Saccharomyces cerevisiae S288C: one gene and its partners. The gene in region 1 interacts genetically with each later gene. Each region holds a gene or a part of one and is shown in the gene's direction. Other genes may lie near its edges.

The links. Genes that interact genetically often act in the same process or in processes that back each other up.
Region 2: mutations in SHB17 (region 1) and DDE1 together harm fitness more than expected from each alone (negative genetic interaction), as found in Saccharomyces cerevisiae (one large-scale study listed by BioGRID).
Region 3: mutations in SHB17 (region 1) and PRM2 together harm fitness less than expected from each alone (positive genetic interaction), as found in Saccharomyces cerevisiae (one large-scale study listed by BioGRID).

Annotation. Positions count from the first base shown.
Region 1 is NC_001143.9:520,397-524,472, reverse strand, and holds SHB17 (sedoheptulose-bisphosphatase), read left to right. Parts: upstream 1-2,760; coding exon 2,761-3,576; downstream 3,577-4,076. Other genes in the region: PLN1 (Pln1p), read left to right, coding at 1-250; YKR045C (uncharacterized protein), read left to right, coding at 504-1,055; UIP5 (Uip5p), read right to left, coding at 1,127-2,458; SUN family protein UTH1, read right to left, coding at 3,849-4,076. UniProt on the Saccharomyces cerevisiae protein: Sedoheptulose 1,7-bisphosphatase involved in riboneogenesis. Dephosphorylates sedoheptulose 1,7-bisphosphate (SBP), which is converted via the non-oxidative pentose phosphate pathway to ribose-5-phosphate.
Region 2 is NC_001140.6:193,931-197,733, forward strand, and holds DDE1 (Dde1p), read left to right. Parts: upstream 1-1,620; coding exon 1,621-3,303; downstream 3,304-3,803. Other genes in the region: DOG1 (2-deoxyglucose-6-phosphatase), read right to left, coding at 138-878; inositol monophosphate 1-phosphatase INM1, read right to left, coding at 3,468-3,803.
Region 3 is NC_001141.2:282,529-286,595, reverse strand, and holds PRM2 (pheromone-regulated protein PRM2), read left to right. Parts: upstream 1-1,596; coding exon 1,597-3,567; downstream 3,568-4,067. Other genes in the region: CST6 (Cst6p), read right to left, coding at 1-930; CCR4-NOT core subunit NOT3, read left to right, coding at 3,944-4,067.

The DNA of each region.
Region 1 (4,076 bases):
GTACGACGCCATAGTGAAGCCCACAACTGACAAGTTGCAGTCTGTGTACATCGACCCAACAAAGACTAAGCTTAACGAAACCTACCAACGCTTCACCACTGTCTATGAAAACAATCTAAGTAAATCTGAAAGCGTCCCTAAAGCCATTGTATCCACCGGGTTGGACTTGGGCAATGCCACCATTGAGAAGCTAAAGGCCTCAAGAGAAGACCAAACCAATTCTAAGCCCGCGGCTGTGTCGACCAATTAGTAATTTGGTTTTGCGCTAATCGTGCGCCTGATTTTTTTTCCTGCCACTCTTATATAGTTATTTGTTATTATTCTATTATTTCATCTATTGTTTGCTAGCTATTATGTACGTTGCTGTTTGAGCACTATATACAATTGAATACCAAAGAAAAAATTATAAAAACGAAAAAAAAAAAAAAAAAAAAAAATTTGGTTATAGCTCGATCAAGAGACAATAAAAGTGAATATACATGGTGCCAAGGGAAAGTCCTAGCATGTCAAACAGTCATCATACATCCCAGGGAAGAAGAAACAAACTTTCAGTGTGGGTTAAAAAAATAATAAACACCACTACCACAACTAACGCATCGGTCTCGAGCAGTAAACCAAGACGCGGCACTAGGGCTGGCCCCACAAGAGTTAAGCGTGCTGAGTTGGATCCGGATGGAACAACCATCAGTTCGTCGTTGCGACCATTGGTTGATCGAAATTCGTTGCATTCGAGCGAATCCGATGACGAAGGAGACCGTCGAGTGGCATGGGATGAACCACCAACAGGCAAAGTAAGACAGCAGCAGCAGCAACAGCAGCAACAACAAAACGACAACGCAAGTGTTATTCCGCTAGTATCGTTTTGTTCCTCGTCAGTGAAGTCGTCTACTTTCTCGGACATTCATTCAATACAGTCTACGAGGCCCACAATATTCTCTAACAGGACGTTTGAGACGAATTCTAGCGTTCTGGCCATCCCACCACAGAGTATATTGGATCGATCAAGAACCCTCCCGCCGTCGAACGCAAGTAACACTACCACAAGAAGACCGTGAATTGGCTACCTAAGATGAACGTCCTATATTGTATTATTTGTGTATGTATGTATGTGCGTGCCTATGCAATGCTACATGGGCAATAGCCCCACAGAATGCGAGCCTGCCCTTTTTCTTCTGGATCTAATTTTTTTGAACCTTCTTTGGAAAACTCTTATGCAAGCAGAAAAAAGATAAATGCCCATGATCAATAGCAAAATCTCGCTATAATGCCATATGGTCAGCACGACCTTGAACAACCGAGAGTGAGGATTGTTTGAAGTTTTCTGTTCAGCTGACTGTGACCCAGTCTTGATGTTTGGTTGAGCTTTGATCATTTTCCATTTGGTGAACTCATCGGGTTCCCTGTCAAGGACCTCGCCAAATTCCTGCTCCAGGAATAGCTCAGCTTCCTTTGCGTAATCATAGGTGTCCTCAATGGACGCATCCATGTCGTTCCAATGGAATTCGCTAGTGGATACGTCCAGCAGCTCCACTGTCTCCGTTAATTGGCCATTTAATGCGCTACAGCCAATGTATCTTTGCCCCGTGTGCATGTTTTTCGGCAAGTACAGATTTTCGGTTGTTTGAAATAACTCAATCCAGTAGTTTCCCTCTTTTGCGTACTGCACGTCGATCTTCAGGAAGCTTATACTTTCCAAATATATTATTCTTAGTTTCGTGACTCGATTCCACAGGGCATTTTTCTTGAGTTTTATGTGGCCTCTTGAATTAAGCCGCAGCGATGTACTGAGTTCACCATCACTATTTATATCGTACCAATCGCTTTCTGGGGCCACATTTATAAACACATCCATAAAGGGTACCTCCTTATGGTCGTGGCCTTGGTTGCGATACGTATCCAAGACAATAAATAGGCCAGGCAGATTTTTCGGGAAGCCCATCAGATCTGTATTATCGGCTATGACGCCCTGAGAATTCATCATGTATTGCTTTTTCGCATACGACGACTGTAAATTCTGTGTGAGAAACCCATTTTCGGGCGTAATGGCAAAACACATTCCATCACCAGTGAGTTGTGTAGTGGGGTCGTGAGAAATTCTGAAAGTGAAAACAATCTCAAAGTCATTGATGGTGTTGTCGCCAATTCCATTGGACAATACTAATCCATGTTTATCTTGATCACGGTCCTGAGTCAATTTGATCGACTGAATATTCCTAATTTGCGTGGCACCGCCTACATGCCAAAACTGGTTGATCTTGTCCAAAAACGGTATAGATAAACTAGCATCATGGTTGGGCACACGCGTTACATGTGATCTTCCTCTTGTAAAGGGGCTAGTCTCTGTATGGTACTGATCACCATTATTGAGATAAATCTCAGCCACTAATTGGAATATTAGAAACAATGATAAAATCAATAGTGATATGGCTAGTTTCTCTGCCCTTACATCTCTTGACATCGTTACTTAAAGAGAGAGCACACACGTTATAAACTACCCACCGCCAAATTGCTATCCAATGTTAAGGATAGACAAATGCAAAAATATATAAAGGAAACCAAAATCTGCTTATATAAAGCGTAAATCTTACATTTTTCACTGCTTACTCACTCTTATTGTTTTTTTTCTGTTCAACCACGCGATGAGTTTTTTTTTTCCATTATTATTTATAGGACAAAAATGAAAAAATATTAGCTCAGATAAGCACATTTTGTTCATAGCTAAGTGGATAGGGAAACACCTACACTTAATTGCAAGCAACAATGCCTTCGCTAACCCCCAGATGTATCATTGTCAGACACGGTCAAACTGAATGGTCCAAGTCAGGCCAGTATACTGGTTTGACAGATCTACCGTTAACGCCCTACGGTGAGGGCCAAATGTTGAGGACCGGTGAGAGTGTTTTCCGCAATAATCAGTTTTTGAATCCAGACAACATCACTTATATCTTCACCTCTCCACGTTTGCGTGCCAGGCAAACTGTGGATTTGGTTTTGAAACCATTAAGCGACGAGCAAAGAGCTAAGATCCGTGTGGTGGTAGACGACGACTTGCGAGAGTGGGAGTACGGTGACTACGAGGGAATGCTGACTCGAGAAATCATTGAATTGAGAAAGTCACGCGGTTTGGACAAGGAGAGGCCATGGAATATCTGGAGAGATGGGTGTGAGAACGGTGAGACTACTCAGCAAATTGGGTTGAGACTTTCCCGCGCTATTGCCAGAATCCAGAACTTGCACCGCAAGCACCAGAGTGAGGGCAGAGCATCAGACATCATGGTCTTTGCGCACGGACATGCATTGCGTTATTTTGCTGCTATTTGGTTTGGACTGGGTGTGCAAAAGAAGTGTGAGACGATTGAAGAAATTCAAAATGTCAAATCTTATGATGACGACACAGTTCCATATGTGAAATTGGAATCTTACAGACATTTGGTAGACAATCCATGTTTCTTACTGGACGCCGGTGGGATTGGTGTTTTGTCATACGCTCACCACAACATTGACGAACCTGCATTGGAATTAGCAGGTCCATTTGTCTCACCACCAGAGGAGGAATCCCAGCATGGCGATGTGTAAGCAATCATTCGAAATGCAAAAAAAGATATGCAGTTATAGAAAGTGATAAAAACATTTTTTTTCTTGACTTTTTATGTTATATAATATGCTATATATGATAATATCTAGTGGTATCTTAAAAAAGAAAAAATAATGAAATAAAAGGGATAGTACAAAGGACTGTGTTTTTTTGTATTGTGGAAAAACGAACTAATTGAAAAATAAACCATAAAATGAACGGAGTAAAAAAAGTACTAGCAAAAGCTTATTTGCAATATTCAAGGAAAAAAGGCCTAGTAGAAGACAAAGTTAGCAGAACCAGAAGTAACTGAAACAGTACAACCGTCAGAGCCAGAGCCAGAGTAGACACCATTTTCGTAAGAGCAAGCACCATTGACGGTAGAGCCATCGGTGGCAACGATCTTGATGTTAAAGTTTGGTGCTTCTTTGTTGTTTGGGTTTGGAATGATGGACAAGTAAGTGATACCATCAGTGTAACCAGCACCCAAGACAACTGGGGC
Region 2 (3,803 bases), on another chromosome or scaffold:
CACAACCATCTTCGAAGAAAAACTCAAAAAAAATCTTACCTCTTCAGTACCTAAAATGACATACATAATTCGACTTTTTGCTTGTCCATATGTTTTACATCTATATATATTCGTTCTTTTGTCACATTTTTGTTTACTCAGGCCCTTGTCAAAGGGTTGTTTACCTGGATGACAATACCGTTTTCATTGTTCTTAACCACGGAAACCTGTGTCAAATCACAGACTACATAATCTGCTCCTGCGTCAAATAAAACGCTCTTGTCATACGAGGATGTTATACCCACAGTAATGGCGCCCATTGCTTTGCCGGCCTTTATGCCCACGGGTGCATCTTCGAAGACAACATACTTCAGATCCTGTTTACCAGTTAATTGCAAATCTTGACGCAATAAATCACGAGCTCTTGAATAACCCTCGGGATCAGGCTTACCGTTCTTCACGTCAAACCCAGTAATGAAAACTTTGGGCTTTCCAACATTTTTCAATATTGTCTCGAACCATGAAAATGCCAAATATGGAGAACCAGAGGTAACGATAGCCCATTTCCTTTCAGGTAACTTTTTTTGAGTCTCAGTATCTACATCTAACGATAACAGTAAGTTCTCTGCACCAGGAATAAGGCTTACTGTGTCCAAGTAACTATGGGCAATATCTTTTTCTAGAGCAAGAACACCTTTATTGTCTGTATCATCCAATTTAGGGAAAAACCTTCTCAAAACCTCTTGTGTTCTTGCACCATGAGAATGCTTAAATAACTCGGAAGGATCAACACCGTATTCGTAACACAACTTGGTCCATGCTTTCTCTGCGGCCACTGTTGTACTCACTATGGTACCATCTAGGTCAAAAAGACATAGATCAGCTGAAAATTCTGCCATTATCCTTTGAACTTCTTACGTGAGTGGCAACGTAACCAACAATCTCCATCAGAACGTTATTTCCAACAGAATAATCGCGATCATTAAAAATGAAAATAAAATTAAATAAAATACTTGCAATAAAAAAGTTCCATGAAATTTATATCATTAGATGGTACCAGAGCCTATAATCTCATAGATATACGCTTCCTTCTATAGCTGAACAACGGTTGTTTGAAATGTCGGGGTTAATGTCGGAATATATAGGAATACTCTGACGTGTCTGTATCACGGAACATAACCGTGATTGAAAATTACAAGAAGCCAAGACTCTAAAGGATATGCGGTAGAAGGCGTGTGTAGAAGAGCCCAGTGTATATTTTTTCACCGATAAGATGAAGTAGATAAACGGAATTTCTGGCAAGTTACTTGGCAAAAGGATACATAGCACGAATTACTTTATTATAAATATTGTAACTGATTGCCTTGAATTGATGTTAATGAGAATCCTAGGACCCTTGGTTTGGTCATTAGCTTTTCGTTTTTCTTTGCGCGTCGTTAAGAATGAAAAAGTTCTAATATGTATCGTATCATAAACGACAGCAACTTCGAGAAGTACATTGAATGGAAATCATTCTGCAACACCTTTATAGCTTCAACATAGGTTAAGTTTTAAGCATTTCAAGTGCTTTTCAATTAAGCTATAGAAAGTTCTTTCGTTAGAAAGAAAGACAGTTAAACAAGCGGCAAAAGTTGATGAGCAATGAATTGGTCTTTTCTACTACAGCTGGTAATAACAATATTGTTAATTGTGCTGGGCGCCAACTGGTTGCTAAGCTCTTTTCTACTTGATTTTAAGAGAGATTTAACAGGGGTGGCTTTGTCACAGCAATCTAGCATATCCAGTGTTCGTAAAGAAAATGAAACAGCATATTATCGAAGCATTTTAGTGCCCACAGGATTCCCATTGACGACAGGATTAGGGCTATCTTTAAAATACAAAATAAGAAATGGCAATTTCGGTGATGTTTGGAATGCCATAATGGAAGTTTCCAAGGGAAAAAACATAATTAAATTTACAGGAAGAGAAAAAAGTTATTCGTTGAGTGAACTTAATGGTATGGCCAAGCGCATATTTCCGAAACTTTCCAATAAGAATTTCAAAAATATCGGTATAGCTAATTCTATTGCTACCGTAGAGGGTTTTACTCTCTCCTTGGCTTCCATGATGACCTCTATAAGAACAGGTTCAATACCTCATTTCTTGCCAGCTGTTCCTAGACAACGACTAGAAGATGTTGATGTCCTGATCATCGACTCATGGAAGTCTTTTAAGATGCTAAACGGCAGCGAGGATTGGTACAAGCTTATTGTTGTTTGCGATGATCCTATCGAATCACTACAATTTGATGCGAACTGTGATGTTATCACTTGGAAAGAACTTATCGACGGTTTTACCAAGGATACAGAGTACCAATACACCCCGCCAGATGACAACTCTGATGATAAGAAACTTTTTGCATACGTAACTTCACCATGGAATGGAACTAATAGTTTTAATCAAATCTGTCTGGTGAGTAATATAGCGGAATTCATCAAAGGGTTCCCCTTGGGAAATGAATTGAATAGTAATGAATACCTAACCATTTCGACAAAATTGGCAAATTCTAGTGCAAGCCTACAAATTTGGGGAAAGCTTTTTGCAGTTTTGCTGCATGGTGGGTCTGCATCTTTCATCAATCCTACAACGATAGATTGCGAGTCGTTGCAAGAAACTACGTTACTGTTTACCGAAACAAAGGATGTTGTCAAATTAATTGATTCTAATTCTAGAAGTGGGCTGCTGAATAAAATCTACTTATCCTGGGCCACGAACTTACTGAGCGAGGGTATTTTTACGAAAATTGCCAGAATCGAGCCACATTCTCTTGAAAAATTAAGATGTGTTTATTTGGCAGATAATGTGAAAGATGCTGAGGTTATTTCGACATTTCCTGAAAAAATTCCTCAGCTAAAAAAGACTAACCGAAGAATCACCCCAAGCACTGAACAATTGAATAAAATAAGAGCTCAATTAGGATCCCGTGTAGTCCTCGAGTTATATTGTCCCTACGCTATCATGGGACCTGTGGCACATACCAATTTTTATGACTATAGGGTTTTTGGAAAATCTGTGGACGATAACGTTGTATGTTATGGAACACTAAGTACAACATTAGAAGGAAAAATGGTAGAAACGGAAACAAACCCTCATTTGAACATAGAGAAGAAGCAGGGTATGTTATGTATTCGTGGTTTTAGCATAGGTAAACCAGTAGAGTCCGATCGTTTAGAGAAAGCTTTGCATTTAGCTGAAAGGTTTGGAGGAGGTGAAGGATGGATGCCTCTAGTTGGCGTTTTTGGACTATTTGGCCAAGACGGTTGCTTATACATCTATAATCAATGAGCATTATCTATCGCTTTATTATTTATTATTTATTATTATCATTATTATTATTATCATTATTATTATTACTACCAATACCTTCTATATCCCTGTGATCAGCTAAAATGATTCAAATAACTGTCATTTTAATCGTACATTTTATATTAGGCCTAATGTGCTGACGATCAGTCATATTTCAAATGGCCATCAACACAGTTCCAAAAGTCTGTGATATATTTTGTTTGTTCGTCACTTTCGTTATTAATTGTTCCCCTCACAGCCAAATATGTCCTATTGTCGACATCAATACTCCATTCACCTGGATTGGCACCTACTACACGACCGCCCACTTCTTTCAAAATACACCATCCAGCACACACGTCCCACGAATAGCAACCACCATCCCAATAACTATCAAGGTACCCCATAGCAATATATGCCATTGTCATTGCAGATGATCCTAAATTTCTGAATCCATGAACAAAACCGTAATCACATGATAGTAATTTTTCATATGTGGC
Region 3 (4,067 bases), on another chromosome or scaffold:
GTTTGATACATTCCTAGTTTGGCTCAGACCATTATAATTGTGAAAATTGGGCATCGGGGGCGGCTGTGTGTTGTGCAGGTTTTCCAAAGTTTCAATATCTTCGCCTAGCTGGCTTATTTGACCGTTAGAGATTGATATTCTTCTTCTTCTAATTGGCTCATCGCATCCAGGCAAAGAACTTTGGAAAATTGGTGGATTCGTCATAGGTAAATGTGCTACATCAACACCAAAAGGTTGAAAAAATGGCGACAATGTTTCCAGGATGGATGGATCGTTCAAGGCATGTGGGTTGTTATTCATATTCATGTTCATGAAATACATCTGCTTGTTCACAGAAGCCGTATTGGCGATGTTGGACGCATTAGTCGGGGCTGTAGTAGAATCATTCGGAGCGGACTTACGGGTAGACGACAGTTGGCTCAGATTTGTATGAGTGGCCAGATTCTGATGCATATCCTGTACGACACCAGAATTCATCAGAATATCACCGTAGAGTTGGGATTCCTCTTCAGTTTTCATAGAGGGTGACTGTTGTCGCTGATCCTGCTGTTGCTGTTGTCGAAGGTATGCAGCCTGCTGATAGTTTGAATTGGCGCTGGGTTTAACAACCCGATCATGCGAATTGACGTTTCCAGCTGCAATAGAATATTGTGGGGTTAAAGAATTTCTATTGGAAGTAGTATAATCATGTATTTGGTCAACCACACCAGCCATATTTGTGCTATAGTTTATGTCAGTAGGATCTAAGGATCTACTTAAAGCAGAATTGTTCATAGTAGAAGTGGTGGTGGCGGCGGCAGAAGTATCACTAACAGAGTGCGGTATCTTATTATTCAAGATCTTTGATGTGTCATCAATACCACGTTTATTGTTGTCTTTTTGCTTGTTGGAATTAGAGTCTACGGAATGATACTCCTGACCAGTAAACATTATCCTACCAAAAAGGTGTGGGCTTATACTTTTTTCTTTACTACTTTAGATCTTTTTAGATCCTTTTGAATCTTCCAATTGAAAGACTGCTTTAAAAGCGAGTTTTTGATTTAGAAACACCAACAGATACGTATACACGATAACCTCTATAGCGGTTCTATTTCTGTTAACAAGAAGGTACTTGAAAGTGATAACTCAAAAAACAAGAGTACAATATGAAAATCTTTTGCCTTCATTGTCATTGTCATTGAATCCCCGATTATCATTGTCAGCAATTTCGGAGAAGGGGGCAACTATGTTCCGTGTAAGGTGATATTACTCAAATGTGTCACAATTTCAACTTCTGGGAATAATATTTATAATAGTTGAGATTATTCTTGATTATAGAGGCGACAGCTTATCTTAATTTTCGCCAATAGGTTTGGAAGAACATTGGTATTTTCATTCGGTGCAGCATTTTAATTCAGAATTATAACCGTCCTTGTACGGTTATAACAGCACATTATTGAAAAATGTTTTAAAAATGTTTCAGCCCAGTAATAAAACATTTACATATGCTATCTTGGCCCTTTATATAACATGTAAAGCAAAAAACTAGAACACTAACATGGCTTAAGTAGCTGAAAATCTACACCACTTTTCGATAAAACTAAGAGTACGGCAAAGATGAACAATGTACACATAATTAAACCTTTATCACTTCCACAGAGGTTTTTTAGTTGTATTTTCCATCCTCTATTACTGATATTCTTTACTTCTGTTATTTTAACTATTTGGGGTTCCTTTTCAGTCATTGACATTACAATGGCAAAAATGTCTCACGCACAGGTCAAACGAAATGATACCGTCTCAACCTTTGCATCTATTTCAACTGCTACAGCGACAGCCACAACAACGGCCACAACAACGGCCACAATGACAGCAGTCACAACACAGCATGCCATATATTCTGCCAACAGTTACTCTTTAAATAAAACATTCATTGATAATACAATTGATCAGTATTTCGAAAGCAAACTACGGAGTATTGAATCTACGGTAGGTACGGATATGCAAGAAAAATTCAAGTCATACACAGACGACATACTGGATAATAAACAAAAACTTATCAACGACCAAATAAGTTTGGAAACTGAATTGATTAAGGAAGTTCTTGAGGTAAACAATACAATTTTTAACGAACTACTCACTAAATCACAGCTGATAAATGACACATGGAATGAAATATCAGAAGACGCAATGACCATTGATAAGGATTCCATTTCACAAATGGCATCAAACCTACTGTTAAATTACTCCATGTTTGACAGTATTTTTGGGAACTACTCAAGGAAATTGAAATCATTGCAGAACTTCAATGGCACTATCACTGACTTTTCTACTCAATTAGATACCTCTAGTACCTTAAGTTTGAATTTTCTACGAAATTCCACTGACTGGCTTCAGTTGAAAAGGAACTTTACTGCAAACTTACAGAATGAAATTTCCATTTTATCTGGGGGGAGTACCGAGGTTACATCGTCTACTTCAATAATTAAACGGTCTCTGAAAACAAATAGCGAGGAAAACAGTGTACTAAGTGCAGTAAAAAATCACGTTTTCCGTAAATGTAAGAGAATGACAATAATTTTCACAGTCATGTACTTTGCATTTGTGATTTTGCTCATGGCAATCGAAAGAATTCTGTTTCAGCTGGAAAATCAGCAAGTAAACCTGGTTATGTCCCAAATTAATGGCCTGACAGGACAAACCAATTTTACTAAATACAACAAAGTTTTGAAAAGCTTAATTACTACTCTGAATCTCAGTACACTTTATCCAATTCCCTACCAATTAACAAAGCTTATCAATCAAAAAATATTTAAAAGAGAACCAGAAAAAATCGATGACAAAAAAGTCAAAAAATCAAAACTATTTTACTGTAACTGGTGGATAATCTCAAATGGGGCTCACCTGTGGCTGTTTGGTTTTTTGATGTTATTAATTCATTGGCAGATAGTGACGCGATTAACAAACTTTGAAGTACCCAGTTTGCCTACATTCCACAAAAGAGCGGGACCTTCGCTATACAAAAGGGAAGTTTGGACAGATGGAAATATAACAACTACGATAGAGGGTTTCATTAATGACAGCGTATCATTATTGTGTGAAAATTTCCAAATGGAAGTGAATGAAAAGTTCATTACAGCAAATTTAAGCCTTCAAACTGACCCCAATTTGAAAGTGCAATCAACGGACATCCTAAATCTTTGGGTTAACGACACAAACACTCAGTTTGAAAAATATCTTAATGAGAGTTCTCAAAATTGGCAGGGGATAGACCTGCAGGTTGAGCCTCTGTTAGGCAGCGATTCAATTAATGAGTTCCTGGGTCAGTATTTCCTACCGACATACGAAGTTACGAATACAAATTCTTCATTTGCACTGGACATTCAAAAATATGGTATAATTAATCGAGGAATTAATATAACCAACGCATCGGTAGCGGCATTGTCTTCACTGTCAAAACGCCAAATAAAGGATAAGGAGCAAAAACAAACGTACTTTTTACACACTGTTTATAAGTGGGGACTTTTAGCAGTTTGCCTGACTATATTGTTCCACCACATGCTTATATTTATAATATTAAAGTTGTAAGTATCGTATTATCGTCACCTTCCACGAGCGGTCTCGCAATTTTCGCTGAGTGAAAAACTTGTGAAAGATACCTTGATTTTATGTAATAGTAGCTTAATTCACTTTCATCTGTGCGTAATCTCTAAAACCTACTGACCTACAGATCAATAAACTGACTAAGGCGCTTGTAAAGTTATTAATAACTTTGCTTCTACATTTTTTAAAGCATTTTGTTGATATTTCGAACTTTCTTTTGTTCATCTCCTTTTGGTTTGACTTTAACGAGAAGTCTCATTGTGTCAAGACAAAAAATCAAAAGCTATTATCTACAGCACATTTATTTATTCATTTTCAAATTTAGATTTTTGAAGATTCATTGTATGTTTAGTCGATCGACATGGCTCATAGAAAATTACAGCAGGAGGTCGATAGGGTCTTTAAAAAAATTAACGAAGGTTTAGAAATCTTCAATAGCTATTACGAAAGACATGAATCATGCACAAACAATCCTTCCCAAAAGG